Linked DNA regions of Struthio camelus. The protein of the gene in region 1 binds, or shares a complex with, the protein of each later gene. Links are inferred from orthologs where the notes say so. Each region holds a gene or a part of one and is shown in the gene's direction. Other genes may lie near its edges. The genes, in order: CALCRL, RAMP3, RAMP1 and ADM.

Evidence for each region.
Region 2: the proteins of CALCRL (region 1) and RAMP3 are in contact, whole or in part, in a cryo-EM structure (PDB 6UVA), measured with the Homo sapiens proteins. The link is inferred for Struthio camelus from reciprocal best matches to the Homo sapiens genes CALCRL and RAMP3. Residues at the interface, in NP_001258680.1 of Homo sapiens: Arg38, Asn39, Met42, Thr43, Gln45, Tyr46, Glu47, Tyr49, Gln50, Met53, Trp69, Asp70, Ser117, Arg119, Thr120, Phe228, Leu231, Ile235, His238, Thr239, Val243, Val245, Lys249, Gln250, His251, Trp254, Tyr255, Phe257, Leu258, Phe262; in NP_005847.1 of Homo sapiens: Trp56, Cys57, Leu59, Phe62, Ile63, Tyr66, Glu67, Thr70, Cys82, Tyr83, Pro85, Asn86, Pro87, Leu88, Gln90, Ile93, Thr94, His97, Arg98, Cys104, Thr105, Val106, Asp107, Arg108, His110, Leu111, Glu112, Asp113, Pro114, Val118.
Region 3: the proteins of CALCRL (region 1) and RAMP1 are in contact, whole or in part, in a cryo-EM structure (PDB 6E3Y), measured with the Homo sapiens proteins. The link is inferred for Struthio camelus from reciprocal best matches to the Homo sapiens genes CALCRL and RAMP1. Residues at the interface, in NP_001258680.1 of Homo sapiens: Asn39, Met42, Thr43, Gln45, Tyr46, Glu47, Tyr49, Gln50, Lys51, Ile52, Met53, Gln54, Thr68, Trp69, Asp70, Gly71, Arg113, Arg119, Thr120, Phe228, Leu231, Ile235, Thr239, Val243, Ala244, Gln250, Trp254, Tyr255, Leu258, Phe262; in NP_005846.1 of Homo sapiens: Trp59, Ile63, Tyr66, Arg67, Ala70, Phe83, Trp84, Pro85, Asp90, Phe93, Leu94, His97, Gly98, Phe101, Arg102, Cys104, Pro105, Ile106, Ser107, Gly108, Arg109, Ala110, Val111, Arg112, Asp113, Pro114, Ile118, Leu119, Phe122, Ile123.
Region 4: the proteins of CALCRL (region 1) and ADM are in contact, whole or in part, in a cryo-EM structure (PDB 6UUS), measured with the Homo sapiens proteins. The link is inferred for Struthio camelus from reciprocal best matches to the Homo sapiens genes CALCRL and ADM. Residues at the interface, in NP_001258680.1 of Homo sapiens: Val36, Thr37, Asp70, Gly71, Trp72, Asp90, Tyr91, Phe92, Gln93, Asp94, Phe95, Asp96, Pro97, His114, Ser117, Thr120, Trp121, Thr122, Tyr124, Thr125, Asn128, Val135, Ala138, Leu139, Leu141, Phe142, Thr145, Thr191, Leu195, Ala199; in NP_001115.1 of Homo sapiens: Cys110, Arg111, Phe112, Gly113, Thr114, Cys115, Thr116, Val117, Gln118, Lys119, Leu120, Ala121, His122, Gln123, Ile124, Tyr125, Gln126, Phe127, Thr128, Asp129, Lys130, Asp131, Lys132, Asp133, Asn134, Ala136, Pro137, Lys140, Ser142, Pro143.

What each region holds. Positions count from the first base shown.
Region 1 is NC_090947.1:15,873,038-15,880,776, forward strand, and holds the start of CALCRL (calcitonin gene-related peptide type 1 receptor), read left to right. Parts: upstream 1-4,730; 5' UTR 4,731-5,073; intron 5,074-7,739. UniProt on the Homo sapiens protein: G protein-coupled receptor which specificity is determined by its interaction with receptor-activity-modifying proteins (RAMPs). Together with RAMP1, form the receptor complex for calcitonin-gene-related peptides CALCA/CGRP1 and CALCB/CGRP2.
Region 2 is NC_090943.1:62,832,030-62,838,914, forward strand, and holds the start of RAMP3 (receptor activity-modifying protein 3), read left to right. Parts: upstream 1-3,868; 5' UTR 3,869-4,071; coding exon 4,072-4,126; intron 4,127-4,713; exon of another isoform or gene 4,714-4,728; coding exon of another isoform or gene 4,729-4,738; intron 4,739-6,885. UniProt on the Homo sapiens protein: Accessory protein that interacts with and modulates the function of G-protein coupled receptors including calcitonin gene-related peptide type 1 receptor (CALCRL), calcitonin receptor (CALCR) and G-protein coupled estrogen receptor 1 (GPER1).
Region 3 is NC_090947.1:4,641,750-4,648,758, forward strand, and holds the start of RAMP1 (receptor activity-modifying protein 1), read left to right. Parts: upstream 1-3,989; 5' UTR 3,990-4,092; coding exon 4,093-4,135; intron 4,136-7,009. UniProt on the Homo sapiens protein: Accessory protein that interacts with and modulates the function of G-protein coupled receptors including calcitonin gene-related peptide type 1 receptor (CALCRL) and calcitonin receptor (CALCR). Required for the transport of CALCRL to the plasma membrane.
Region 4 is NC_090946.1:23,983,509-23,990,364, forward strand, and holds the start of ADM (pro-adrenomedullin), read left to right. Parts: upstream 1-3,845; 5' UTR 3,846-3,961; intron 3,962-4,540; 5' UTR 4,541-4,553; coding exon 4,554-4,654; intron 4,655-4,937; coding exon 4,938-5,078; intron 5,079-5,576; coding exon 5,577-5,862; 3' UTR 5,863-6,856. Other genes in the region: SBF2 (myotubularin-related protein 13), read right to left, coding at 2,658-2,787. UniProt on the Homo sapiens protein: Adrenomedullin/ADM and proadrenomedullin N-20 terminal peptide/PAMP are peptide hormones that act as potent hypotensive and vasodilatator agents. Numerous actions have been reported most related to the physiologic control of fluid and electrolyte homeostasis.

The sequences.
Region 1 (7,739 bases):
ATGTTTGAAATCTGTTCCCCTTCTGTTCAAAGGAGAGCATCAGTTCCACTGGAAAAAAACTTTAATCCTTTACTAATAGTGTTTGTTATGTGTGGTCCCAAACAAGGGATTTTCATGGATCTGGCAAGCTACATAGAAATAAAGGACAGGCAGTTAGAAGAGAAAGGGTTTAGGAAAAGGCCTGGAGACATTGTCCAGCTTTTCCTCTTCCTTTTTTCTTTGTCTCTGACTGATTCCATAAAGGTAGTGCTTATTTTTGTCAGTTGAAGCTAGCATCAGTTCCTCTGTCATACTGTTTGTAAAGGTGAGAAGTACTTCCATGTAATCATCCCTTACAAAGTAAAGTTAAAAGAAAAAAGGTAGAAATAGTATTTAGAGAAAAAGTTTAAAACGTGAAGTGTTCATTCATGAAATAGATCCTGTGGTCAGTATACAGACTATACGGACCTGCCGTGGGTCTTGATCGATGAGTTGATATCTGGTTTGAGAGGTCTGTTTTAGTAAGTTTAAAAACTGTCTCTAAATGTTATAACTGCTCTTCAGTCAAATACATCCCTTTCACCAATGAGGAAACAGACACTCCTTACTGTTGGAAATGTGGCCTTATATTCTCCAAATCTGTTACACACAGAGAGCAGATTCCTCATGGAGTATATGAATGCAGGAAGAAAGGCAGAGTTTCTTACGAAACCTGGGCATCCCAAACTAGAATAGAACCAGTATCAAGCTAATATTTCTGACCTGAAAGCTTAGATTTTTTTGTGGAATCTAAATAAAAACTGATTTGATTATGATCAGAAGTTTAATCTGAGAGTGCACTTCCTTCCTGGTGCGTACTCTTGTGGGTTTGGTCACCATACCAGCTCTATCTTCCTACCATGTTTTTCATATAGCTCCACAGTGTATCAAGTTAATTTTTCTCATAAAAAGAATGCAAACTACAGTGTAATCTGGTTGTATCTTGATCAAATCCAGACATTCCTTTCATGCCTTTTGTATTCATTCGCCTCATTTCATTCCTGGGTCTTCAACACAGTATCAGCAGAACAACCAAACTTAAGAGGAAGAAGACCTAAGCATCTCTCAGAATTAAAGGGTGAACATATAAGGGGGAATAAATGGAACATATATGGGGAATAAATAGGGAATAAGAGGGCAGAATAGTGAAGAGGTCAGAAAATAGAGCTATAGCAGTGTGCTGCCAGTGACTGTGCACTTGGAATTGACTGGAGTCCTTTCGTTCGGTCCTCTCATTCTAGAATCCACCTCGGTTGCTTTGAAGGAAATATGCACAGTGCTGTGAAATTTGCCCCACATTATATGATGGGAGCCAACAAGCTGAAGCAATGAAGTTATAGAGATTTGATGAGTTTCCATATATCATCTGACCTGCATTAACTTGGTATGTGTCCTTAGTCCAAGCAGATGATGAAGCAAAATGTCTTTGAGAAACAACTTAAGATGTCTTTTACTCAACTTTTTTTTCCTCACATTTTTCCTGGTATGCCCTTCTTTTCCTCCTTTTTACTTTTATTTTCTCTCCCTTGATTCTCTTCCATTTCCTTGTGAGCTAGCATTTCTCCCTGCAACTCCAATCCATCCGCTTTTTCAAAACCGATGCATTTATTTACATTTTGAGATTGTCTTCATCCTTGTAGATTTTACCTTTCAAACGTGTTAATGAGGATGTAGAGACAATATGCTTTATGACTTATTTCTTTTATCTTCTTTTGAGAAAGGATGTGGAAAAAAATAAAGTGGATATGTTTTGGAATACATATTTAATAAAGTGAAATATGTATTTATAGTTGAACAAAATGGAATATATATTTATAGTTATTAAGGGTGCATAAATATACACTCTAATTATAGACATACATTAGCAATCACAGAGCTTCTGAGGTTTCCTTGGTTTTGATCCCATAATCTCTTTTAAACCTATAGCGAGCTGAGCTGGGATTCTGTTGTCGTGATGCTTCTTTATGTGACTGGTTTTTTCATTCATCGACTGTGTGTTAGTTAGGCATACTTATTTTGTGCCAAGAGGAAATAGCGTACAAATAAGATGCTCCCTGAATTTCTGATTCTACGAATAGGCGGGGTATATAGTAAGCTGCAAATCTCGTGTTTCTCTTCGGAGTGCCGCGGGCCTGAAAGTGGGAGCCCTTTCCGACAGCGCGCCAGCTGCGCCGCGGTCGGCGCGCACCAGGTGGCAGCGCAGCCCCGCGGAGCCGCCGCGCGGGGGCGCCGCCGCGGGGGCTCCCGCCGCCGCCGCCGCCGCCGCCGCCGCCGCCCGGTGCGGCGCAGGACGTGCCGCTGGCGGCCGCCTCGCCCGGGCCACGCCGGCGGACAGCGGAACAAAAGCGGCTGCAGCCCTTCGCTGGGAATGGAAGCTTCTTGCTAGAAAGAGCTGTGCGTCTCTCCAGCGAACAAGGTCAGGATGCATGGAGTCTGCGGCCGCGGACACGGCCGAGAGTGCTAGCTGCTGTGCTGGCTGGCTGGCTGTCCGGAAAGAAAACTGGGGGAGAACCGGCCATTCCGACAGCGCCTTTATAATCAGGGGAGAGGCGCTTGTCATAACCGCAACAACAGAGAAGGGAATTCTCATAGCTGGTTCCGGTTAGTCTCATTCCTGAAAACTCGGGATAAGAGAGGGAAATACGGTGGGTTTGTTTCACGTTTCTTAAGCTTTCTTTGGTTAAAGTGCAGTCAGCTGTGCTCATTTAGATCCCTTTTGAACTGCTCACACCGACACTGCTGATTACCATGGGAGTCTGTATTGGTGTGATTTACACGCCTTTCAGCTAGAAGGAGGAGGAGTTAAAATAGTGTGGGGGCCTTTCTAGGTCTTTGAAGTGCAAATTGCACCAGCTGAGATGCCTCAAATACCTGAAGAGGAGGTGTAAGAAAGTTCCAATGACAGCTAAATAAGTAGAATATAAAAAAAATTAATTTACCAAAAAAAGAAAAAAACACCAACCCAACTGAATTTTGCATGCCAAATCAAACATTGCCCAGGTGATAAATCTTTCAGGCTAATTCAGATTTTGAGCTTATCTTGAACGTGAGTGCTTGGCTAGAACGCATAGGTTATTATCTAGGTTACAATGTGTTATGTACAATGTTGCTGTCTATATAGCCTAGACCTAATTGGTCTAAAATAATGTATCCAGGCTCCCTTCTGGTGAAATTTTACCACCTGAGGTGACACAGTCTATTTCAGAGAAGTTAATTTACATCATTGTTCAAAATCAGATCTAATCCCTAGTTTACTTCTGTTTACATTTAGAGTGCCAGTTCTTAATTCTTCACTGATTATAAAACTCAGAAACAATTCTCTTGTTGATGTCAGATCCTAGAAGCCCCAGTATATGCTAAATGAGTATTAAAGTCACATGCCTGCTCTTTTAGTGAGCTTGGAGTGTGATTTTACAATTTGTATTGTCCAGTGGCAATATGGATTTAAAGTATTCCTGGCCCTCTTTCCTCTCTTTCCAGTACTTCCTTACCCCGGCTTGGGGTTGTTTTGTTTTGTTTTGATGCTGTTTTATTTTTCATTTTTAGGGAAAAGATTTTCAATGGACAGACCAGTTCCCTGATCCTCCAGTGTACAACATGTTCAATGAACATTTCTGCTGATGAAAAGGAGTGTATGAGCAATGGGTAGTGAGGAGCAAGCAAAATACCTGTTCTGTGAGCAAATTAAGTGGTCATGGTTGCTGAGCACATCTTATGAAACTCCAGCCTCAGGAAGGGATTACTCGTGTTAGAAGTGCTTATAGTGCTCGAGCTTAATGCTCCATGAACTCTCATTTGTTTAGCCTGGTATTATCATGGGCACGCTCCAAGTGTCCATTGATTTGGAGAACAGATTTTGACTGTCTATAGCACAGATATCCAATGTACAAAGGGCAAGTGATGTAAGTACTGGCAAAGAAAGACTTTTAAGTCCTAATGTATAATTCTTTGAAGCTAGTGTAGAGATTTCCTTTAATGCAGCTTTGTTTTCAATTATGCCATTTTCCAAACTAGGCAGCTCATAATAGATGCTCTAAAATCACTAGCATTTAAAAAAGTGTATGCTACAGTTTAGCAATAATAACAATGCTGCTGCCTTTTTTCTACCCTTGATATTTCAAAGACTGTTTTATTTAAATACAACATTTTTTCCTTGAGGGGAAAAAAAAAAAAAAACAGGGTGATGCTTTAAACTATGCACTTGCTTGAATTTGAAAATTGGATTCTGACCCTTAATGCAGTTTGATACGGAGAAATATGTTCTTCAAATATATTCTTCAAATACAACTCTTCAGCATTTACAGTATGGCACACGATGCAGTCTCTGCAATTTTTGTCAAAGATGGATCAGGTCACTCATATTAAGGAGGAATGCAGCTATCATATTTTTTGTCTTTGGATAAAGGTCTGAACTGATTTACTTCTGGGAATGTAATTCGAAGAGGAGAAAGAATCTTACTGGCGTGATGTGAGAAAAGACAAGTTCTGTGGTCTCCTTTCAAATGGAATGAGTATTTTCTGACTTGTTTCAGAGCATTAGCTTTTATCTGAGAGGGCAAGTCGCAGCTGAGCTCGGAGAAGGTGAAAGTAAACTGTCTCTCAACAGGAACAATGCTGTCAGATAGCACATGGTAGCCATCAGCAGTCAGGCAGCTCTCTACTCTTGTCTGGAAATATTAGAAGAGCCTCACTTTCCTAGGATATGCCCTTTGAGAAAGAAAAGTAACTTAACACTAGATGCAGGCGGGGTTACTGTGATGTAACAGGAAGCTCTGATGTTTCGCTGCTGCTGCTGCTCACTTACCATCTGACAAGGCTCCCAACTCTGCCCAGAGCAGCTCTTCTCCCCAGAGCAGTCACCTCTCCCATTAGAGCCACCAGGCTCCCGTAACTGGATTATACCTAGGGGATCAGGCTGTAGATCTTTTATTTGGCTGGGGGGGGGGGGAGGGTGAGGGAACGGAAAGAAACATCTCTCTTCTCCCTCACTGAAAGGGAAATCAAACTGATCGTCTAAGAACTTATCTGAAACCATTTTGACAAGAAGTGTGTGCGGTGAGTACAGATCAAAACAGTTTCATTGTTTTATCTAAGTACAATATTTCTGTGTCATCTGAATGCATCTATTTTTAGATATACTAGAAGGAAGAGCTGCGTGTGTGTGCTTTTACATTAAACTCAGTATGTGATTTGTAATCTGCAGGGAGAGAGGGCTATGAGGAAAATAACTTATGTTGTTGTAATACATCCTTAAGGTAGATATCAATGGTAGATGGGCAGAAGGGGTGATAAAAATACCTTAATCAACACTTAAAGGATTCGGTCTAAAACCCTAATAACAGTTAAACAAATTTTGTCTTTGCATCTGGAGAGAATTAGAGGCTTATTGGTTTGAAAAGGATCCTTAAGACTAATTCAATACAACTGGAGTTCATTCAAGAGAGGACAAATTAGGTGATAAACTGTTGTAGATTTCCCTACTGAATATTTTCTTAATCTTGTTGCCATTATTATACTAGAAAGAGATCATATTTGAGTTATTTCATAATTAGGTTTTATGTCCTAATTATAAGACTTAAAAGATACAGCTTGTGTTTTGTTTGGACTTTCTGTTTGTTTGAGGAAAAAGTTAGCTTGAATTTGAAGTTTGTTTGTGTGCTGGGGTGTTTCTGTTTGAGATTTTTCCATACGCACATACAGCAAACTGATTTACTAAAAGGTAATTGTCTACTGTCCCATCTTGTTGAGAAACTATTGTAATGTGGACAGCGGGAAGTGTGTGATTCCCTGCCTTCCAATATAAAGAGTTAAGAGAGTTTTGTCACTTGTTTTCTCCTCAGCTTTCCAAAGTAAATGCAATATCCTCTGTTTTTACAAGTTCTGTTGCATTATTTTGATGGGACTGTCATAATTTAGCTTTGCTACGGCTAGCCATTTGCTTATTTGTATAAGTAAGCAATGGATCTGTAGAGTCAATAAAAGGACTCTCATTTCTGAGGGACAGTTGAGAAACAGTTTAGGCTATCGCTAACACTTGGATTTGATCTGCAATGATTCATTTAGTCATCCCTATATTTTATAGGGGCTGGGATTGAACTAATAATAGAAATGGCTGATTTTTTTGCTCTCTCTCTTAATAAACTTATGCTAAACACCTTGGGACCAGGTTTTGCGCTTGCTACAACAGTGCCAATACAGTTTATTTTTAGTCATATTGTGCATGCTATGGGATGTTGTCATTCATTTGCAGTAATAATGTATTTAACAATTTAAACCTGCTCAGGTCAGTGAGGTGCCGAAAGACTGATCGTTGTGCTCTGAATCCAAGTCCTTTAAATAGATTCAAAGGAGTCATATTAGGTCTGGATAAATACAAATGAGAGTAGGTCTGAATCTGTGATTGCTTTCAAACTACATACAGTGATATATCATCTGGAATGCTCAATTCAAAATAATGATCTGTTTTTCCACCGTAATTACTTTTGTGGTCTATTTAAATTCTCATTGACTTCACTGAATATAGGAGAAATCTCAAGCTCTTTGTCTTGCTTTGAAAATCTGTAGCACAAAAGGTATTTAGTGGTACTAAGTCAAACAAGAGGACACTTAAGAGTCCTCGTTTTGTTGAAATGATCAATGCAGAAGATGCTAAATGATTTAGCTTCTTTTATGCTATTCTTAAGTAGCTATTTTAGATTGTGGTGAGACTGCACCCCTATGCAGTGTTAGACATACATGTGTTTGCAGGGCTGAGGCTAGAATCTATATCATTTGCAGATTAAGCATGGACAATAACCAGATAACTGTTGAACTGTTTGGCTTCAATTTTAAATGTACAAAGCTATGCACATAAATATAAAGCATGGGTTGCAAGCTCAAGAATTGCATTATGCAAGTCCTGTTCTGTTCGCCTCAAATTTTACTGTACTCTGAATTCCTGATCAGCAGGAATCTTGCTCTACGTTCAGGAATGTAATGTTTGTCCCTTTGAAAGGACTTCTCCTGATACGAGACAACTGTTGAAATCCTGGCCCAATTAGAGGCAGTGGGAATTTTTCCACTGACTGTCAGAGGGCAGGATATCCCTAAATGTGGGTATATTTTTATGCTGAGGGAATTATTTAATCTGATTTCAGACTTCATCCAGTCATTGGTGTTGTGTATGTACTGGCAGATATTTTGTGCTAATTTCTATAATTTTTGAATGCTCAGGTCCTTTGGAAGAAACTACTGCTATGAATGTGTTTTTAATAATAAAATATAGGCAGCGATATTTTAAAAATGTGTATCTAGCCACTTCTACTGAGCTTAACATAAGCTATTTATGAAGGAAATTGAAGGCAATTCTCTAGTGAAAAGTCAAAGCCTACAGTTAGGAAGGCAAGATAGAATTTCTCTTTAAGAAGTTGTTCCCATCTGTTCCCAATGTGTTTGCAGTGTTCTTGATCTTCTAGCAAAATTCCTTCTGTGCTTCCGACTAGCTATCATTTTTATAGAGTAACACACGTTACTGGCTCTGCTTTAGTATTATGGTAATATGGAACCTCCACTCTAAAAGCACGTGTAGCAATGTCATTGGGTTTTGTATGTAGTAGTTTCTCTGGCTAAACTTTGCACTTACTGAAAAAAGCCTCGTAGTTGCTCATGAAATTGCTCTGTTAGTGGGAGATGCTTTCAGTCTTTGGTATAGCAAATGGGCAGAGCTCTGGAATTGGCTATAT
Region 2 (6,885 bases), on another chromosome or scaffold:
TCCTCTTTCACAGCAAATAAAATTCACTTGAACTACTTTAGTTCTTTATTTCATCCTGGAAGTAAATTCATTTCCATATAATATCTGTTCTGCTTTCCCTTGATGTCTGTCTTGACACTTCTGAAGCCATTTTTATTAGCCTTGATGGCGTGTAATAGTAGCTTGCTATGTTCTTTTTTTTTTTTTTTTGCATGAATGCACTTTAAAATACAAGAAAGCTAACAAAATATGAATATTCCAATTCCTTTAAAAAAAGTACACATTTTATACCAATGGGAATGCTGCCAAGTAATAATTGAGTAGCTCAGCATCTCAGAAAATGACAGTATTTTGAAATACCTACATGATGCTGATAGTTAAGCATCTAACCAATAAGAACCCCACTGAAATCACAGACCAAATTCACATGTATCTTAAAGTTTTGGAACAGTGCCATAAGTATTTGTGTACTCCCATAATCAGTGTCTGTTCTTATGTGAAAATCAAGGTATTTACATAGAAAAATGTCTTTTTTTCCCCCCTCTTTAGTTCAGGTCATGTAGGCATAAAGAATTTCAGCTAGTGAAATTTGATGTGCTTAAAATCATTTTAGCTTTATGTGCACTCAATACCACAGTCTGGTCTTTGAAAAATGTCTTTTCAGTCATAGGAAGATGCCATTTACTAATAATAATATTTTTAATATATTTGTATTTTTTCTACATTGGAGAAAAAAGACAGGAGAAAATGTTTGCGTGAAATTATGCAAGCAGAACACAGAGGAGGAAATGGTTTTAATTCAGGTCCTTTTTATGTATTTTTTTAAAATTTCTGGAATAGGAAAGACATGGTCGTAGGACCGCTGAATGGGAGAAGAAAGATTAACCAGTTGAAAGCAAGATGACATATTCTCAGTTTAAAAACAAAAAAGGCAGATGAGCTGAACCTCCACCTGCTCTTCCAGACCTCATTTCAGTAAACAATTCCATTAAGATGTGGTTTTAAAATCTTAATATATCTTTTATACAAAACTACTTATTTTGCTAGGAACCACAGAAGAAAACCTTCTGGCCCGCAGTGGATCAGATATCGATCTGCACAGACAAGTGGGTATTCTGTAAGGCCAACACTTCATGCTACAAGGAAGGGCAATGTTACTTTTCATGATGTAGTATCTTTACCTAGTTTTCTTCTGAACAGTTGTTTCTGCAGGATCAGTTTAACCTCTGCAGATGAGATTTCATTACATTATCTCACACAACTATGAATGATCTGGTGCTCATGATGATACCTGTCCTGTCTGGCTTGATTCCACCTCCCTTTTCTTGTTTCAAACTCCCTGAGAACTTTAACACTGCGACAGCCACTTACCTGTCTGTTGCTGTCATTTTTCTAGTCAGTGGCTTATTAGGAGGATAAGTATCTGAAACAATGCTTGAAGTGATGTGATGGCAGCATTCTCTGCAGGGTACCTGAAAATGGGTTGTTTTCTCTGGAGGCTGTATTTTTGAGAATTACAACAAACTATACTTTTGAGAATATTATTACTGCTTCTTGTCAAGGAAGGGATTTAGAGTTATATACAGCAGTTAGAATTTGTAGGATTTCTTATTTGAAGGCGAAACAGATTTCCACTGCTGGTATAGAGATGTGAAGTTGCTGAGGCAGATTTGCAAAATAAAAAGGTTCACAGCCTTTCTGAAGTAAATGTATTAGCATTACTGCAACTGATAGAAACAGTGTTAGTGAAAGCCTTTACACAGCTAAAGTTGCCTGTTATTGATAGTTCTAATCCCATGACAATTTTGTTCAGATATACCTGCATATCAGAATTACTCATTTTAATACATGTAGCTGAAGATACAGGCCAGCATAGTTTGCTTGTGCTCTATTATAACTGGACCATTTCTAAATTAGTGCATTTGCCTGTAAATTTTAGCTGTTGTTCTACCTTGAAGGTTTTACTTGCATCTTCATAATATCTGCCACAGATATAAAATGGGAAGTTCTGGCTGAATCTTGCTAGTTGAAAGCAGTAACTTGTGAATCTAGAAATCTGCCAGTTTTGCATGGAGTTTTTTCTAATCTGAAACAGGTGAAGATATTGAAAATAGATTAGAAGAAAAATGTCTGCATCATCTCCAATCCTGCATAATGTATATTGTAAAATATATGTATAATGTATGCTGCATCATTTGCAGTATATGAAGTATATGAGTGTCTTAACACTCCTGAAGACTGGTCCAAATTCTTGGAAATACTATTTGTGATGTCAGAGATTGACTGTAACAGATTTTGAAAGGGAAATTGAAATCTCACTGTTAGGAGGGATGCTATAGTGAGTCTGCAGCGTGTGGAGCTTCATACTTGTCACTACTCTGCGTTCTGTAGTCCTTTTGATAGGAGTAGCTTGCAGATACTCCTTGCAAAGCAGAGGTGCCAGCCCCTCAGTTGAAGGAGGATCTCCCTGACCTATTGGTTATTTATGGCCCGTGGAATTTTACCAGATTTGCTTTTAGCTAAGAGGAAGAAGCGGCACGCAAATAAAGGAGGTTCATTGTAACTTATGCACTTGAATGTCTGTAGAGCCACTTCAACACATTGCATTCACAATCATCTCTGTGGTTTCTCAAGTTTTCCATTTCCTTCAGCCTAGATAACAGCATAAATTAGACGGCTGCTTTTAGTCTGTGTATGGAGTACTTTGCCTTCAGATACCGGTAGCATAATCCTGTAGCATTGGGGTCACTAGCTGGAACTCTCCAAAAACTTTGAAAGTTACTCTTCCAGGCAGTATTTAAAGTCAATGTGAACAACCCAACTGATGCAGAAATGTACATCTGTTCTTGTGTAGGACATTAGCATTTTTTGAAGTCTCAAGTTTTGCGATACATCCGACCTTCAACAATGGCAGTAACTTCATGTTCTGCTCACACGCAGTTCTTGAGGTTGAGCGTTCCTGTACTTAGAAACACGCTCTGGCTCCTTATTAAAATTGAACAGTATAAATATTGTTAGCCAAGAAAAGGCTTCATTAGTGGCTTCTCAGTGTGGTGGTTCTTGCTAGGGATGCTAATTTCCTAGAGAGAGAGCTCCAGGAACACAGCCTTTAACTGTTGATGACAATGAGGAGCTGTACCACTCCCCCTCTGGATAGAGCTGTACAGAGACAAAATGGCAACAGGAAAATACATTAAGCATTTTCTTCAAGGTCCTGGCTCCTCTGTGCTGGCATCAGTGCAGGGTTAGGATAGCTCTCTGCACATATTCAGCTGTAAATACTAAGGAGGCTAATATGTTGGTCCCCAGTGACCTCCAGCCACTCACGCCTTTGTCCGTGCTGCCAGCGTGTCACAGCAAGAGAGGGGAGGCTACTCTGACTCCTGGGGTGGGGGGGCAAGAAGTCTCCCATGGGATTCCTGTGGCTTGCTGTGGCTCTTGGAGGGCCCAGAGGCACGGCAGCACTTGTACGCATGCGTGTACACTCACATGTGCATGCTCTAATACATACTGACATGTGTGCGTGATCACATGCACACACACACACCTATGCACTTACATGCATGCACACTGACCTGTGCGCTCATATGCACCAAGCATGCATGCACATGTGCACACACACGTACACATGCACTCTCAACATGCATGCACACATGCAGGCACTGACATGCACCCATGTGCACCCAAGCACACTCATGCTTGCACACGAGTGCACCCATGCATGGACACAGGCACGCAAATGCACGCACTCACGGGCGCGTTCGCACGCACCATGCATGCACACATAGGCGCACACAGCTCCCTCCGAGGCCGTTACGCCCCCGCCAGCAGCCCCGCCGCAGCCCGCCCCCGCGGGCCCCGCCCGGCCGCGGGGCCGCCCCCGGCGCTCAGAGCACCCGGGGGCGGAGGAGCTGCGCCCCTCCGCGCCGCCCCCGCTGCTGCCGCCGCCGCCGCCCGGGGCTGGACGCCGCGGCATGAAGAGGAGCCTCCCCGGTGGGGGGGCTGAGGCGGGCCCGAGCCCTGCGCGGCTGCGGACCGGCCGCCCCATGCGGGCTCCGTCCCCCGCGGCCGCTCGCCGCCGCCCGCGCCGGGATGGAGGCGCCCAGCTGCTGCCGCCGGCGGCAGCTCCCCGTCCTGCTGCTGTGGGGTAAGTGGGGGGCGCCTGCCGGGGGGGCGTCCCGGCCACTGTGCCGAGGCGCTCCGGGACAGCGGCGGCCACCGAGGTGTCCCCGCTGCGCCTGCCTTGCCGGGGGGGGGGGCAGCGAGGGGCTGCGGAGCATCCTCAGCCGTGCGAGCGCGTCCCCGGGGGCGGGCGGGCATGAAGTTGGGCATAGGCGGGAGCTCCCCGCCGTGCGTGTGTCCCCCGGCCCTGCGGATCATCTCTTGGCTGGGGGGGGGGGGGGGTGTCCCTTGCGATAGCCATCGCGGGGAGCGGGCGGCGCGGGAGGGAGGCGGAGAGGCGGGCGGCTGCCCCGCGGGGGGAGCCCGCCCGAGCCGCGCTCCGGCCGCGCCGGGCGGGGAGGCTGCGGGGCGCTCGGCCCCCCTCGGCTCTCCCGCGGGCTGGAGCCGCCGGCCTCGCTGGGGAAATACTCCCGAAGCCCCGCGTGGGGAGTGACACAGCGGGTTGCGCACCGGCTACAGCGGCTAGGGCCGGCGGGCAGGCAAGACGCGACATCAGCAAGGCGAGCGGCTGCTTAATCGCTGGTCCCACATCTCGCAGACGGATACTGCCAGGAGATAAATCCAGAAATGCTGTACTGTGCGTTGATACCTTACCCTCCTCCCCCCACCCCAAGAAAGATGATCTGACCGATTTTTGCTGTTATTTAGCTGTCAGATCCCAAATCTGATTCTGGGAAGGCAGGTTTGATCTTTGGGAAAGAGGAGGGTTTTCTGCTTCTGCTGAAGGATTGATTGCAGTTAGGATGTGTTCTGTTACAAACAGCCGGTTGTAAAAGTGCAGATATCTTTCAGAGCCTTCATTTATTTAATTCAAGATTAACTCTGCTGTTAGAAGTACTTCATTTTTCTCTTGTCAGGCAGCTTGCTTTAGGATGCCCAGATGTAATGTGCTGTAGGCAGGTTTAAAGTTGCTGGGAGAAGTCCGTTCTGATCTTCCTCACTCTACAGTAACCCCAGAAATGTGAGTTAATTCCTTGTGAGTCACAGATAGGGAAGAAAATCAGGCCTCATACATTTTAAAAGGGTTATCTGAGGACTCTCTAACTTTGTTTGCTAACTTGATGCCCCTTTCAAAGTACAAAGTTGGCAAATACTGCACATCTTTCTGTGAAAAGACCTATAAATAAATGGATAGTTGTTTCTGACAAGGTTTGGTAGCACTGTCTTGATTTGATCTGTAAAAAGAATGACACATCAAATGCTTAAACTTTCTGATTCTCTGTGGCTCAAGGATTGCTAAAATCTTACCTTGATCACACAAGCTTTTTGTTGCTTCCTAACTGAAAAAGAATAAAAAATGGCCAACACCTGTCTTGACGCTTAAGGATTTATTTTTTCAGTGTTAAATTTAGGGAACCAAGCAGTCTTTTTTTTGACTGGGAAGACATCAGGGTGTTGTCGTGACTTTTACAATACAAACCTGATTACCGGAGATTTATTTTCAGAGAATGAGCGCAGTGAGGAGTAACGTCCCTTGTAGCTCAGAAAGCTAGGAAACGTTTTTCACCAGAGAGACACTAACCACTAAATCAGGTGTTAGAAATTTTTGCCTGTGCTAGTTGCTTTCCTAACATAAGGTTGCAGAAGAACTGATTTTGATGGTATCTGTTAGCTGATAATGTATTACTTTTGACTGAAGTTTGAAAGGGTAGATGCACTGAAGAACAAAATGCAATTAGACTAATTTCCTGCTAGAAAAGCCATTTAGGAGTTCTGAAAGTTTTATAATGTGAATTCCTCATGATAAGGAATGCTTTAAGTGGCAGAAAACCAAAGTCGTTCTTTCTCAAGTAATATAAATGTACTTTTATGTCAGTTATTCCTGAAGGATTTTCACTTGAATTGATCATGTTTTCTTCCACGTTTCCTAATGGCTTCTGCTAACCAGAGACCCATGAATGCGGTCTTTAAGGTAAAGATGTTGCCATGATGCCTCAGTGTTAGCTCTCATTGAATTCGGTGGGAATTCTGTCTGCATAGGGATTGAGACCTTACTTCTCTAAACTCAAACTACTGCTTTCTGCATATCTTTCTGTCTAAAGCTCTTAAAAAACATTATCACTATACAGAACCATCTGCTGAGTGTCATCACTCTTTTGCCAGGATGGCAAGACAGGCAGCGTGTTTGCTCCCTGGAAGCTTAGTAATTACTGCAGAAGTGGGATTTGCTGTGATGTGGGTGTGCGGGGAAGCTGTGAGCTGAGGCAGCTGGTACACAAACAGTTAATCTGTACTGATTCCCCCTATGAAGTGCTGATAACATCCCAAATGTGGTGAGATGCACAGCTGGAAACTTGAGCTGTCAGGTGAAATCCTCATACTTTGTTTAGCAGAGCCTTAGATACTTAGAAGGCATCTACTTACTGTCATCTAATCACCTTGGAAACAATGATGTATTTAGCAAAATACTTTGAGATGTGGTTATTCTCTTTTTATGTATAGAAACAGGCATGGAGAAACTTCAGGGCTTGACCAGGATGTTTAACAGAACAGGTTGTTTTTTGTGTTTTTTTTTTTGTTTTTGTTTTTTTTGTTTTAAACAAATGGTTGTTATTTTGACTTCCTTCTCCAAACATTTGCTCTTTCATCCTTTAGATAATGTCTGCATTTCAGGGGTACTATTTGTACCAGATTAAAGCTACTTTTTTTTTTAATTCTGGAGGAGTTTCTCTCTCTCTCTCTCTCTCTCTACATACATATATAATATATATAAAATATCTCTAT
Region 3 (7,009 bases), about 11 Mb from region 1:
GTGCTGAATACAGAAACATTGGATAGGATTTTAAATCCAGCATGAGATTATACCTGCTGTAGTGATGGTGAGGGTGAAAGACTCCCAACCAATATGCATGCTTGGCTGAGTTCCTTTTGCAGTGACTAATGTAATGCACGTTTGTTGGTTTGGCACTTGACTACCTTGTAAGCTTTTGCTGATGCTCCGTACGAATCAAAACAATGTTTAAAAAAAAAGTCTTAATAGTGATCTGCTGATTTACTTCTACAGGATTGCAAATACGGATGTAAACTCATCAAAAAAACTTATGTTATACTTCACAGTATTTTCCATTAGTAAGATTTTAATAGCTTTCGCGTGTGTTGCGCTTGTCAAATGGTTTTAAAATAGCATGAGTGCTTTGCAGTCAGAATTACTTCGACAGTAGTGTTTTTTGGTCTATGGCTTTGCTAAGGAGAGATCATTTAGAACAATTTTTACTTGCATAATGAGGGAGCTGTGAAATAGCCAAGTCATTAGTGAGTAATGGAAGAACTGTAAGCGTGTAAGTCAAATGTTTAAGAAAAAATGATTCTGGTCAAAGTTCTTTTATAGAAATTCTGGTTTGTGTATAGCTTCAGACTTCCTTGAAAGGTAAACACTTGGAAACCTTATGTTCTTGCAAAGTGGTGAAACATGGAACACAGTTTTATAGATACTACTTTTATGTCAAGCTGTGTTACGCAGCATTTTATGCATAACAAATTCAGCTTCAAAGCATCCTACCGACTCACTTTTTTCCCCCTGCCCCGCTTTGGCTGAATTAGCCCAGAGGTTGATGTATAAATGTTTATAGATCTTGCATATTTGTTAATTTTGAAGCCATAAGTTCATTAGAACAGGTGAGAGGTTGTTAAACCTAATGGCAGTCAACAGTTAACAAGAAATGCGATGATATGACAGCTATTCAGAGTGGTATTAAAAATGGCCGTTTCCCTTACAGTGCCAGTGTCTGCAGTTGGTAGTTTTCCATGAAATTAATAGTAAAGATCTAAAAACAGACATTTTCTGCTTATTGAGATTTGTCCCATCAAATCATGATTAAAATGCATTACTTGAGCAACATAAAGAAATGCATGGAATCTGTACAGTGTCTTTTGGCAAGTATGTTTTATTTTAAGGGTATCCATCTGGCACTCCTGAGTGATACCGAAATTCTGTCCAGCCCAAATGCACACACTGGTAGTATTCACTGCTTTCAAGTCTGGATTTTAGAAAACTGGTAGCGAAACTCGGTTTGTTTTTTATACTATAAACTGGTTTCTAGGAATGGATTTCTAAAATGTAAAGTTTACATCTTCCTTTTTTTTTTTTTTTTTTTTTTTTTTAAACCAGTGTCGACCAGATTTGTTACACAGAGATTATATATTTTATTTTCTTTTTAATCACTTCTTTCACATGGTTCTTGAAGCTAGGAAACTTCTGCATGCAGACTTCCTCCAAACTCTGTAGCAAAATTATCATAGCTTTTACTGATTTTTCTAGCACGCTAAATTTGCTGGTGTTCCTTTTATCTCAGTTCAGGTGTATTCATGCTAAATTTACCTGCTTCCTCTGTTTGTTTGTTTTTAAGGTGATTTCTCTGACAAGGAGGAATTGATCATCTCGCTTGGAAGATTTTGCAAACTCTGTACTCCAGCTTGTTCCAGGATCATATTGTGTTTCTTACTGGTTTTACTGCAGCGGATCTTAATGAAAATTCACGTAGCATCATCGCATGATTTGTGGTCTTATGCGAGACAAAATAACCTGAAGATCGCTTGGGGGTGTCTTTTTGTGTATGAAGATCTTAAGTGGTTCTTCCCAGTTTTCCTGTTCTCCACAGTTGGCTCAAGCATTCAACAACAGGTTTCTCTAAGTGATATAATTAAAGGAGAATGTTTCAGTGAAACAGGACTTCTCCAATACTGGAAGGACGTTTCTATGCTTAGTGATCACTGAAGTAGACAACCCCCTTAATTCTTATACACCTCTTAATTTTAGGCATTTTAGGTAGCTGGTAAGTTGGTTCAAAGTACTACATGTTTAATAAATTGCCAACGTGTTTAAGTTCTTTCCAGATCATCTCATTCTGAATAGTTTGTAGAAATCTCACGTATCCTTTTAACACAAGGCAGGGAAGGGACGACGTCAGAGGAAGCTTTGTTTTACAAAACCAGGCCTCAGTGTTTCCCATACTCATGGACTTTGTTACGTAAACTGCAGTGTTACAACAGCAGCAATTATTCAGGAGCAGAGTGATCTTGAGTCCATTTTCATTTGGCAGTTCTGTAACGTGCTTCTGAGTCTGATGGCCAAATACTTCCTTCAGGATGATGTTCCACCCTAGACTTCTTTTCAGAATATGGAATTTTTTTTTTTTTTGGTCTTATAAATCCACTTCCATGGCTGTAAACAGAGGATGGGTGCCTAAATCCTTCCGTTGTGCCACATAGCCTGGTATAGTGGGACATCCCCCAGAGGAAACTTGGTTTGCGTTGCATAAGTTGACACAAGGGGAGGGGGAAGGATGGGGGGGATGCAAGCGTATTCTTTTGTGTGTGTGGTTAGTGTACAGAAGGGGTATAGCTTTTAAATCCTCTTCTAGCAGATGAAGAAAAGGCAGCTTGGGTGTATGTGTCTGGTAAGGGGGTGAGGAGAACTATCTTTGCTGCTGCCAGGCCCATGTTACCGTATCGCATGGCGAGGCAGTACGTTGTGGCTGTCCAAATCTCTCTCTTTGTTATACTTTGTTCTCGATCCAGGCTGCATTTGCTGCTGAAAAGAGTCTGTCTTGCCTGTGAATAAAGGTTAAAATTTCTTCTTCAAAAAGTTGTGCTTATGTTTTGCTGTTTTCACATTTCATCTCTTCCCTCTCCTCGTAGCAGAACTATTGCAGACAACGTGCTCAAAGCCTAGCACTGTGTTTCGCAGCTGATGTTTTTAAGTTGGATCCTGAAGCTGCAGTTGAGGCCTCGGGTCTGTTTTCTTCCCCGTTCACATCAAGATTAAAACAGCTCTAGGCTTTGCTCTGCCCTGTTATTTGGCCAGCCAATGCTGCCCTTTCCCTTCCCCAGACTTGATTCTGTAATTAAACAGGAGTTATTAGTGCTGTAGGTAAAGCTGACTTTGTGGCTTTGTTCCTGTTGGGAAGGCAGACGCATGCCTAATGTTGAAACGCTGAAACGAGGCCTGGCACGCTGCAGCGGTTGCTTGTTCATGCAGCCTTTTCAAAGGGAGAGCTAACTCAAACGGTGAGAGAAGGCGTTTGTGGGGTGGCGAGGAGCACCTCCTGCTCCGCCTGACCTCTGTACAGCTGGAGACCTCGTTCGTCTGGATGTGTGTGCTCTTAAATTTCTGAAGAGCCCAAGCGAGGCACCTTTCCACATTCGGGCTGGGCAAGAGTTCAGTCGATGAGCTGCAGGTGGAGCTCTACTTGCTCAACAATGCTTTTGCACTCCAAGTAATACATACATATGTGGTGGGTGGGTGCCTGTGTGTACGTATACATGTATGTATATTCTTTCTGAAGTTGCATGACCACAAGAAGGTAGTGTCCAAGAGTCTGTAAACAAAGAAAGGGAAGGCATGCTTCTTCTCCTTAGGCTAGAGGGAGCACCTTAGCAAAAAATGGAAGGAGGGCAAAGGAAAACGTGTGGGGAAGAAAGGATTTCCTTGGGTTTTCCTTTGAGAAATTTTCCGTTCCCTTGCCCCGCTCCCCGTCTCTGGACACCTACCTGCCTGCTCCGAGAAGATGGAGTTAACTCCAGCTCAGCTGGGCGTGACAAATCTCAGCTGAAGTCATCACAAAGAGTGGTTGGCTCCCCCCCCCCCCCGGCCAAAAAAACCAAACAAACCCACCACTCCGACAAACCAGTTAGAGACGGTTTACAGGACAGAAATCCCAACACGGGAGGAAAGCGCTCGGGAGAGGGAGGGAGGGAGGGAGGGCCCGGCGGCGCTCCCGCGGGCGGCCGCGCAGCGGGGCTCGGGAGGCGGCGGCGGCCGCCGGGCAGGTGGCTGCGCGGAGCGGCTGAGCGGCGCGGCCGCCCCCGCGCCCTTCCCACGGGCGGGCGGCCCACGGCGCCGCGGATGGCGGCTCTCCTACCTCGGCGCTTCCTCTGCTTCGTGCTGGGTGAGTGCGCGCCCCGCCGCCGAAACCCCCGCCCGGGGCTTAGAGGCAGCCGGGCTGTTCCTCGGGTCAGTGCGTTAGCGTCCTTTTCCTGCCGGGAGGTACCGTCCCAGCGGCTCCGAGCGCTGGGGAATAGCAAGGAGCCTAAAGGCGGCCCCTAAACGTGCCGGGGCGGGCGAGCGGTGCTCCCTGGCGCGCCCCGCTGCGCCCGACGCCCTTTCTGAGATCTTAGGTTTTCCCAAAGCCTGCTCGCTTTGGATGACTTCCTCTGCCCTTTCTTCCAGAAGTTCAGATCAGCTACCAGGAGGCTGTTTCAGGATCCCCCCCCGCCGCCCCCAACCACCACCGTTTCTGAACGGGACACGCGGAAAGGGCCGCGACTGTTCTCGCCACTCGTCTCCCTCGCGGAGGTTTCGGACTCGCTAGGTGCTGCCGGTCCAAAAATCAGGTTGGAAATTCTCGCGCTACGCGACGGTTTGCGCCCAGGGCGCTCCGGCCTTCTTCAGTGCTGGGGGGGGAAAAAACCCGGACCCTGCGTTGGTAGCACTCGGAATAAGAAGCGTATTTATTTAAGGTGACTTAAAAGGGAAACCGCACACCATCCCTGTGACACTGAGCTGGCAGGAAACTGAAGCACTCTTTGAGGAAACTCAGATTTCTTCTCTTTCTCCTCCTGTCCGTTCTCCCGCGCTCTTTTTCTGCTCCAAACCCTGGTAAATAATGTATCGAGCTCCGCCGCATACAACGCTCTTCTCCGTGCAGCGTCATAAACTATTTACTATCTTGCAGCCTGTGACTGTTCACAGGGAAATACAAGACGGCGCGGTCAGACAAAACGCATTCTCCGTGGTCGGTGGTAGAGAAACGCTCAGTGTACCTGACGAAGCAGGAAACAGTATCATGTTAATGCCTGCGATTAGCAATTCTTGATTATCTCGGATTTTTCTCTGCTGTGTTTTTCTAGTCCCTTTCCCCTTTGTTTCTTTAAAAACAAATTAGAAATCAGCTTCTTAGGCTTTCTTACCCGCCAGCAGGTTAAGCATTGGTTGCCCCCTTGTTTCTCACGCGAGACAATCAAATGTAATATTATAGTAACCTGCTAAAAAAAAAAAAAAGAGGAGGAGCCCCGTCGGGAATGCTTAGCGAGAGCCCAGTCCTAAAAAAACAAAACCCACCGACCCCTCGTGTTTATTTGCCGTCCCCGGAGCCGTAACGCCGCGGGGATCCTGTGTGTGCCGTCGTGGGCCGCTTTTCCCAGCTGTGAGCGCAGGATTTGAGTTGCGAGCGGGATTCCCGGGGGTTATTTTCACAACTGGGACGGCCTCGCCGGTCGAGGGACTGGGAAACCTCCAGCGGAGCAACAACATGCTGCAGCACCCCAAATCCGGACTAAAACCAACCCGTACAGCACAAGCGCCCTCTCCCAGCCTCTGCCATGCCGTCTGCCGCTTTCGTTCGCCGGCAAAACGGAAACGCAGTGGGAAATCCCGGCTGGGCCGGCGGTGCGTGAGCATCTCTGACCCCGTTGCGGGAGCATGGCTGTTTCTTGGTTGTGCTTCCCTCCTGGCTTATCCTGGTTTTAGTGAGGGGTCTCCACTCTCCGACCCCCCGGTCCGAAAGGGAGAGAAACGGTGCCGCTGCGGTTCGAGAATAGCCGGCTCGGGCTTTCTTGCCTTCCCAGCAGCCTGTGGCAGCAGGAAGGCTCCCTCTGTGCAAGCCACTTAGCCGTGATAGATGACAGATAATTGCGGCGCTGAGCGGTGGGTACGTTTGGTTTGTCCTGCGTCCTCTCTTCACTGGGTTTTTTTTTTTTTTTTTTTGAGCACATTCTGCACTATTAGCAAAAAAAAAACCAAAACCACGCCACCAATTCGACGCGTCCTCCCTGTCTCCCGCAGGAGCCTTTGCAGGGCTTTTTGGCTGCGGGGATGGAGCCCGTGAGCTGGCGCTGCCAGACTCCCGTTAGCTCCGAGCCAGATGTTGCCTCCTAAATCCGCGTGCAACCCCCCCCCCGCTCCGGGCCACGAGAGGGTGAGGCAGCTCCGCGCTCAGCGAGGACCGTGACACCCCCTGGCCCCGGGGGTGCCCGTCCTGGCAGCATCAGCTCAGCCTCCTTTTCTATGCCGAAAAAGCCTTTTTGAGCTGCCCGGGCTTGAAGCGACTTTGCAGCTGGCTGCCGAGTCCTTAAAAAGCCGCGACGGTGAGGATGTCAACTGTCCAAAAATAGCTGCAATCTCAGTCAGCAGACCCAAGGTGTAGCCGCACCCTGAGGTCTCAGGTAAAGGTTAAAAAATGGGGCTTTTCCCGGTTCTTTGGCCGCGGTTCCCTGCCGAGGCCGGCAGGCAGGAGGCAGCGCGCCTCGTTCGCTCTCGCCGAATGGACTGAGAGCTTTGAAAGCGACGGGTCCAAACTGAGAGTCATCACTAGACCCGAGCGAGCTCCTACTGCTGCAAGAGCTGGCTGCAGAGCGTCGCTCGCTTACGAGGGGAGAAAACCCTTAAAAAGGAAAATAGCTTGTTCCCAGGCTGCTCGCGGGAAGGTTGTAGTCTGGAAACCGTTATGTCGAAAGCGTTTAGGCAACTTGCTCCTCTTTGCAGCCTCTGATGAACGCGCCCACGGGGCATTGCGGCCGTTTATTCTGTTTCCCGCCTTACTGCATTTGATTTATCCGTGTGGTCGCTTCTTTGCGGGCCATCTGCTTGTTTGCGTGAAGAGTATTAGTCTTGGAAGCACCTTCTCGTCTTGGAGGTGGTTACATCCAGGGCGTCCGCTGGCTGGTCCTGCCTCGGTCCCGGTAGCAGGGATTCGGCCGGGGAGAGATTTCCGCGAGCCTGGGGAAGGGCTGTTCTGGGGGCTTCCTGGGGCAATCGCCCGATA
Region 4 (6,856 bases), on another chromosome or scaffold:
GGACAGCAAAAGGATTCAGTCATCTGTAACTTACTTCCTTAACTTCCCTTTAGTATTGACTTCTGTTATAGTCTTACAGGACAAATGAGGAAGTGAAGCAGACAGATTGTTTGCTCTCCTAAAGTCTGAGGCAAAGTAAAAAACTTTCATCTAGACCACCAATAACAAAATTCCCTCTGTTCCAACAGAGTAGCCCCAGCTTCTCTTGCATGATGAAGGGGCTCGCAGAGCAGTGGCTTTTGGTGGCCACCAAGGCCTAGGTCTCCAGAAGGAGCCAATAAGCAGCCACAGGTTTACCCTGGCGAAAGAACTGTGGGGCTATAACCCTGCAGGAGAGTGAAAGCATACAAGGGATATTGATGCCGCAGTCAAACTATGTACTTAGCACCAAATAGATGTGAAGGTTTACAGTTCCTTGTACAGTCAACTCCTTCAGGAAATATAAAGGTTACACTCTTCATGCAGTCTCTCAATCCAATGTCACCTGTCAGCTTAGTGACACCCTTTGCCAGAATAGGGAAGGAGCCATGACCCCGAGCAGGTTTTTCCGCACCAATATGCATCTCACTCTGATTTAGGGGACTTTGTTTGGTGTGTTCAGACCTTTCAGATAATAAGACTCACTAAAGCATCTCCAATCAGAGTACCAAAAATGGAATTGTCCCTTGACACTAATTCCTTTGAACATATTGGCACAGATAGAGCTGACTGAGTGCACTAAAAGCAAGGCATTCTTGCATAGAACTTGACTGGGGCTTTACATGCTTCATAAGGTGTGATGCTTCTATTGTATCATCTTTGCACCAATTTCATACAATATGAAATACAATCAAATATATTCTTACTCACTGATATGAATTCACTAAAATTCATAGCAAGCCCAAATGAAACATACAAAAGAGCTTCCACTGGCTTCAAACGATATTCTTGCATAATCAGCACAGAATATTTGCCCCAAGCTAATTCCTCATTGGTGCATATAGGTTTTGGAGTCTTACTTTGGGAATAAAACTTAGCCTGGATAAAATGCTATCCAAACAGCAACTAATCTTCACAATCTCCCTACAAGAGCAGATACATATTGTAAAGTCTTTTGTACATACGAGAACACTGAGAGGTTGAATGACATGCCCAAGATAATCAGTAAACAAGTACAAGAGCCGGATGTTCCTCCAGGCCAACTTCTCCCCAATGGATGAGGCAGCATAGAGAGGAGAGCCTACACTTCAGAGGAGAGTCCAGTCTCTCTGAACTGCATGAACTGCCTCATAATAATACTTCATGAATAACATTTCCAGGGAATGTTCTGTGTCAGTTTTTCAAAATGTAAGTAACTTCACTATTTATGAAATAAGTTTTGAAAAGGCGGCACTTTAATGTCATAGTACAAATTTGGTGATTATTGTTCGTTTTCAAATTATGTAGGAATGCAGATGCTTAGGAAGAACAAAATGAACAGCTGAACTGAGAACATGATGTTTTGTGTTAGATATGAAACGAGCTTTACCCCCTGAAGCCCTTTCACAAATCACGTCAGCAACAAACTGCATTTTGGCTGATAACTCCTGTGCCAAAGTTTGATCCCACATGAGGCAGAACGAGCTAATTTTGTATCACTAAAATGGCAGTTGTAATCAGCATTGAACTCATGTGTGAAATATTATTATTATATTATTATATTATAATTCCTGAAACCACACAGGATTCTTTCTGTATTGTTTGCCCAAGAGTATACAAATTGCACTTCCCTTTTGGCCAAGGATGTTAATGAGGGATTTTCCAGCATGTGGGGAAGTATGTGATTTTATTACTGGAACAAGAGAGATTGTTTAACTCAAAGCAATGCCCATGACACAAAATCCTGCCCTCTCATTCAGAAAAGTTAGGTTCACTTTCAGCTTCTGCTGATCAGGGAAATGCTTGGACTCGCTCGAGCCTGAGCTGCCTCACGAGGTCTCTAAAATACCGTCATTATAATTTGATGCGCTTGTGTAGTCTTGTCATGATATAGTCCCTTACTAGACCACCTGTTTCCCCATTTCTTCCTCACTGAGTGTACACGACAAGCCTCCCTCTCTGTGCACTTCTGCTTCGGAGCACAGGCTGCGGCGGAGCGGCAGCAGGAGCACTGCCGCCGAAGCAGCGCCGCGGGGACGGGGCCGGCGGGACCCGCACCTCTCACCGCTCCCAGAGAGCCCGAGGGCTTGCCCGGCCCCGGCCCGCGGCAGTCCAGCAGGTGTGGCGCAGGAGCGCACGGGGCTTGCCCGGCAGCCAGCTCGCGGCCGAGGAGCAGCCTCACCCCTGGAGACCACGCCAGGGGCGTGCGGGAGAAAGGCTGGATGGCTCAGGGGTGCAGACGTGAGCATCCAAAATGAGTGCTGACCCACCTTCCAGCAGATGCCAAGCTACAGCTGCGCGGCTGATAACGCAGAGGGCGTGTGAGGGACCGAGGGCAGCAGCCGGGAAGGGCATGGGCTCCTGAGCACAGGTAGCTGCCGGAGACAGAAGGGCTCCTGCACGCTGCTGGCAAGGGAGGGAGCACCTCAGACCGAGTCAGCCGCATAGGAAAGTTTCCGTCACCCCCTTGCACATACCTCTGCAGGGTGTAGCATGTACCGCGGTTATCTAGAAAGGTAGAGTCACAAGTAAGTACTCACCTGCTTTTTTAAATACTTTGCTTGGAGCAAGCAGAGTGAAACATCCCGCAGACTCCAGTCCGCTGCTTCGTACGCTCGAGCATCTGTCGCTGGGAAGGGGACCCTGACGCAGCAGGTCTGCCGGGGGCATTTCCTTCGGTTCCGCAGAATGTGCACTGCAACAAATAAGTATAGAAATGGTCCATCTGGTGCTGGCTTCTGCAACCCCTGTGAAGCCAGAGCTCCACATTTCCAAAGCATCATAGAGCAAAGATGTTGAAGACTGTAAAAAAAAAAATATATATATATATATGTAGACAGACCAAGGTTTTACTGCAAATAAATCTGATCCTGCAAATATTTATGCACTGGTTTAGCTTTATTGGCCTGTTAACAAAGGTTAGGCACGTATATAAAGGTTTGTGAATTAGGGGTAAAATGACCCACAACAAGTCTTTCTTGAAGTTCGTAACCCCAAGCATTTTAGATTAACCTGTGCTTGGTCCAAAGCAATAATTCTTCCTTTGTTCAAAGGTATATCTAACCTTCCTGTTCCGATACCATTTAAAATGTGATTTATTTTAAACGATCGAGCAAATCAAGTAAATTTTATTAGATAAAAATGCACCCAGGTTGAGTCATAAATATTAATGATAGCTGATTTGTCACCTCCTTACTTATGTAATGAAGGCTGACTTTCATTGCAGTTACTCATTGTAATTCAAGTTGTCCAAATATGGCTTTATTTTTGAAACTTTGTTATTTGATAGATTTTGAAATTGATTGGGTCTAGTTACTACACCCCTTCTCCAACCCACCTAAAGCTAATGTGCCTAGAAAGAGAAATTATGCTACAGACCGTGTAAACATAATTCTATATCAGCAGGTAAAAAGTCTGTCCTCAGACTGTCCCCAGTTAAACAGTACGAGGGGCTTATCAGATTTTCCAGGTTATGCCATGACTTGGAATCCACACCTAAAAACCATTGTTACAATCAACAGAATACCGAGGGGGTTGTTTAAGTTAATTTTCATTAATCCTCTTATTTTTACCCTACTGTGGGGTGCCCCCAGTCCATGCTAGTATGATTAAGAAGTGGTCGGGACATGGGAGTGGGGGTGTCAGAGAACAGCCAGATGCGCCAAGGTCCACCCACTTCCCCCGCGCTGCTGTATAAAAGGGAGCGGTGGAGCGCAGCTCGGCAGTGGTTACCCCAGGCACACAAAGAAGGAGCTCTCGCTCCTGAGCGAGCCCTCAGGAAACCGTGCAAGTTCGGATCGCTACTACCACAACATTTGTCTCAGTGGATTATCCTCACTGTCAGGTAAGAAACCTTTTTTTTCCCCGCCTAAAGGTGTAGGGGAGGTGGAGAGGTAGTGGAAACCTACTAAATCTGAGCTGTTTTGACGTGCTTGAAGTTATGCTGCTGAGTCTTGCACTGGCTCTTGACATCAGCTGCAGTTTACAACATAAATCCCAAACTAGCTAGTTTGCCATGTGAAGGGGGAAGATGAGCTATTAGAGGATAAGCTTCCAGGCAGCAAAACACTTGCTGGAGTTTGGAGACGATGCTTCTAAAAGGCAGCTCTTTCTAATCTCATCGGTCTGCTAAATCCTATTGCAAGCCACTGGGGGTATTCTGGCAGTCCTGCTGGTTTTCAGCCGCCCCTGCAAGTAAAAGTCTCGACAAATGTAAACTCTGGAGGCTCTGTTATTTACTCTGTGATAAATTGCTGAGAAAATATTAGCCTTTGGTTCATATCACACACAAAGTTTCCAGTAGTTTAGGAGCTATATATCCCGAGGGAAGGAGTTCTCTGGAACCACCAGGAAAAAAAGCACAGACCTTACTTAACTTTTACTAGCAAACATGCTTACAATTCTTCTCTTCTCCCTCCACCAGGAGTTCAGCCAGAATGAAAGTGGTTCACGTAGCCCTGCTCTATCTCGGCTCTGTGACCTTCCTCGGGGTGGATGCTGCTGCAAGGGTGGACGTTGCGACAGAGTTCAAAAGAAAGTGAGTATCGGAGCGCGCCCTCCTGCCAGCGCCCAGCCCCGCTCTTTAGAGCTGCGGAGCCTCCGCGCCTCCGCGCCGGGCTCCGGCCGAGATCAGAGGGAACTGAATGCCCTGCGGGAATAGCACAGCTCCTAAAGGGCCTCGTGCCCTTTCAGGAAACATCCAAAATAAAATAAAAAAAAATCTCGGCGCTGGCAAAGATTTTAGCCCCTCGATTCTCCTCAGCTTGGCTGCTGCCTTGCACGCGCTAACAGGCTGTCCTCTTCCCTTGCGCTCCTTTCAGATGGACGAAATGGGCACTGAGCCGAGCCAAGCGGGACGTGAAGCCTTCGGGCACGCTCCGAGGGCTGGGGCCAGCCGCCGCCGTGCAGCCCCTCATACGGAGCCAGGACGTGAAGGAGGATCCTCCTCTCTCGCATCCCAGGTAATTTCTAGTCCTCTCTGGGCTCGGACACTTGCTGAGGACAACGGAAAGTCTCAGGGTCCCCTTGTTTCCGGGTATTTTGCTCCTTTTCGCTATGGATTTCCCAAGCCCCAGGGACAGGTCTTGCAGGGGCTGCACAACGCGCTGAAAGCAGCCTCCCACATCCCTTTCCCCGCGCACTTCAGCTGGCGGGAGATAGCAGCGCCTTTACTGTGAAAGTCAGATATAAATAGTAACTTGAGCTCTGGATCCATAGATAAAGTAACAGCCATTAAACGGCGGGGCCTCTCCTTCCATAGGCAGCAAGCTCTGCTCCGCGGCCAGATCGCCCCTCTCCCGCCGCTCGGCGGAGGGCAGAGCCGGTGGAGGGGGGTGCACCGACAGGACAGGCCCGCCTCCAGCCTGGGGGCCCCGTGCCCTCCCCGCCCCAACCCCCGCGGTCCCCTCCTCCAGGCCCCACTACGCCTTTCTCATGCCCGCTCTCTTCCTGCCTCGCAGCAGCCGGGAGGATGCTCACATCCGCGTCAAGCGCTACCGCCAGAGCATTAACAGCTTCCCCCACTTCCAAGCCATCCGCACGGGGTGCCGGTTCGGGACGTGCACGGTGCAGAAGCTGGCCCACCAGATCTACCAGCTGACCGACAAGGATAAGGACGGCGCCGCCCCCGTCAGCAAGATCAGCCCCCAGGGCTACGGCCGCAGGCGGCGCTCCCTGCCCGAGCGCCGCCGCCGGCGCCCCCGGACGCGGCCGGCGCAGCCCCTCGCCGCCGTCCTCGGGATCTGAGCGCCGCGGGAGCGCCGCACCACCCGGCTGAGGCCGTCTCGGACGGACCGAGAGACGGATGGAGGGTTCGCCGGCGCTGGGGAGCCGCCGCGAGGAGGCGCGGAGCCGCGTGGGGGGCGAGACCCCCTGGGACCTGGGGGCGGCGGAGCGAGCGGCCCCGCGCGAGGAGGCTGCGAAGGCCGCGTCGCGCACCAGGACGTGCAGGGACCGACCCCGCTCCCCGCCTGCCGCGGCGGTGGGGCGGTCGTTGACTCTTCACCCTCCACCGCGGCGAGGAACCGCCGGCTCCCGCGCCAGCGGGACCAGGGACTGGAAGGCGCCCGGGCCGCTGCCCGCGCCCGGCTCTCCGCCACCCGCCGGCCGCCACGTCGCCCCGCTGCCCGCGCCGCCTCCCGCCCCCTGCACCCGGCGGGGCCGGGACCAGGGCCGGGCCTTCCTCGCCAGCGGGCTACAGCCAGAGCTGCCCCTGCCCCCGTGCCCCGGTAGAGGTGGGTTGCTCGTCTGACCCGAGGAGGGAGCGCTCGGGGGGACGTGGGCGAGCCCCGAGGCGGCGAGTGCGTCCCCGGGCGGCCGCGGCTGCGCGACCCCCGAGCCCGTGGCCGCGGCCTCGCCCGCTGCCCCGGACTGTTTGACAGGCCTCGTTCAGCCTCCGCAAGGAAAGGTCCCCCACACCTGCTCTACCCTCTGCGTTATCTGCACCCGGCAGGGAATCGGACACTCACTAGTCCCTGCGGGGACTGCGACATACTTGAACGTCACAGAGAGGAAAAGTGCAATTGTACATGGTTTTTGTTAATTATAAGTGCGGTGTGTGTGGGTCATGAGATTCGTATCGATATTTAAGATTGTCCCGTGTCATGTCCTATTCGTATCTTTTTTTTTTTTGGAAAAATATATTTTATTTTTATACTTTTTTATATATAAATATATATATATATTGCATAAGGGCATTTTAAGACATTGTATCCCCTCTATTTTTCATATTGTGAATGTC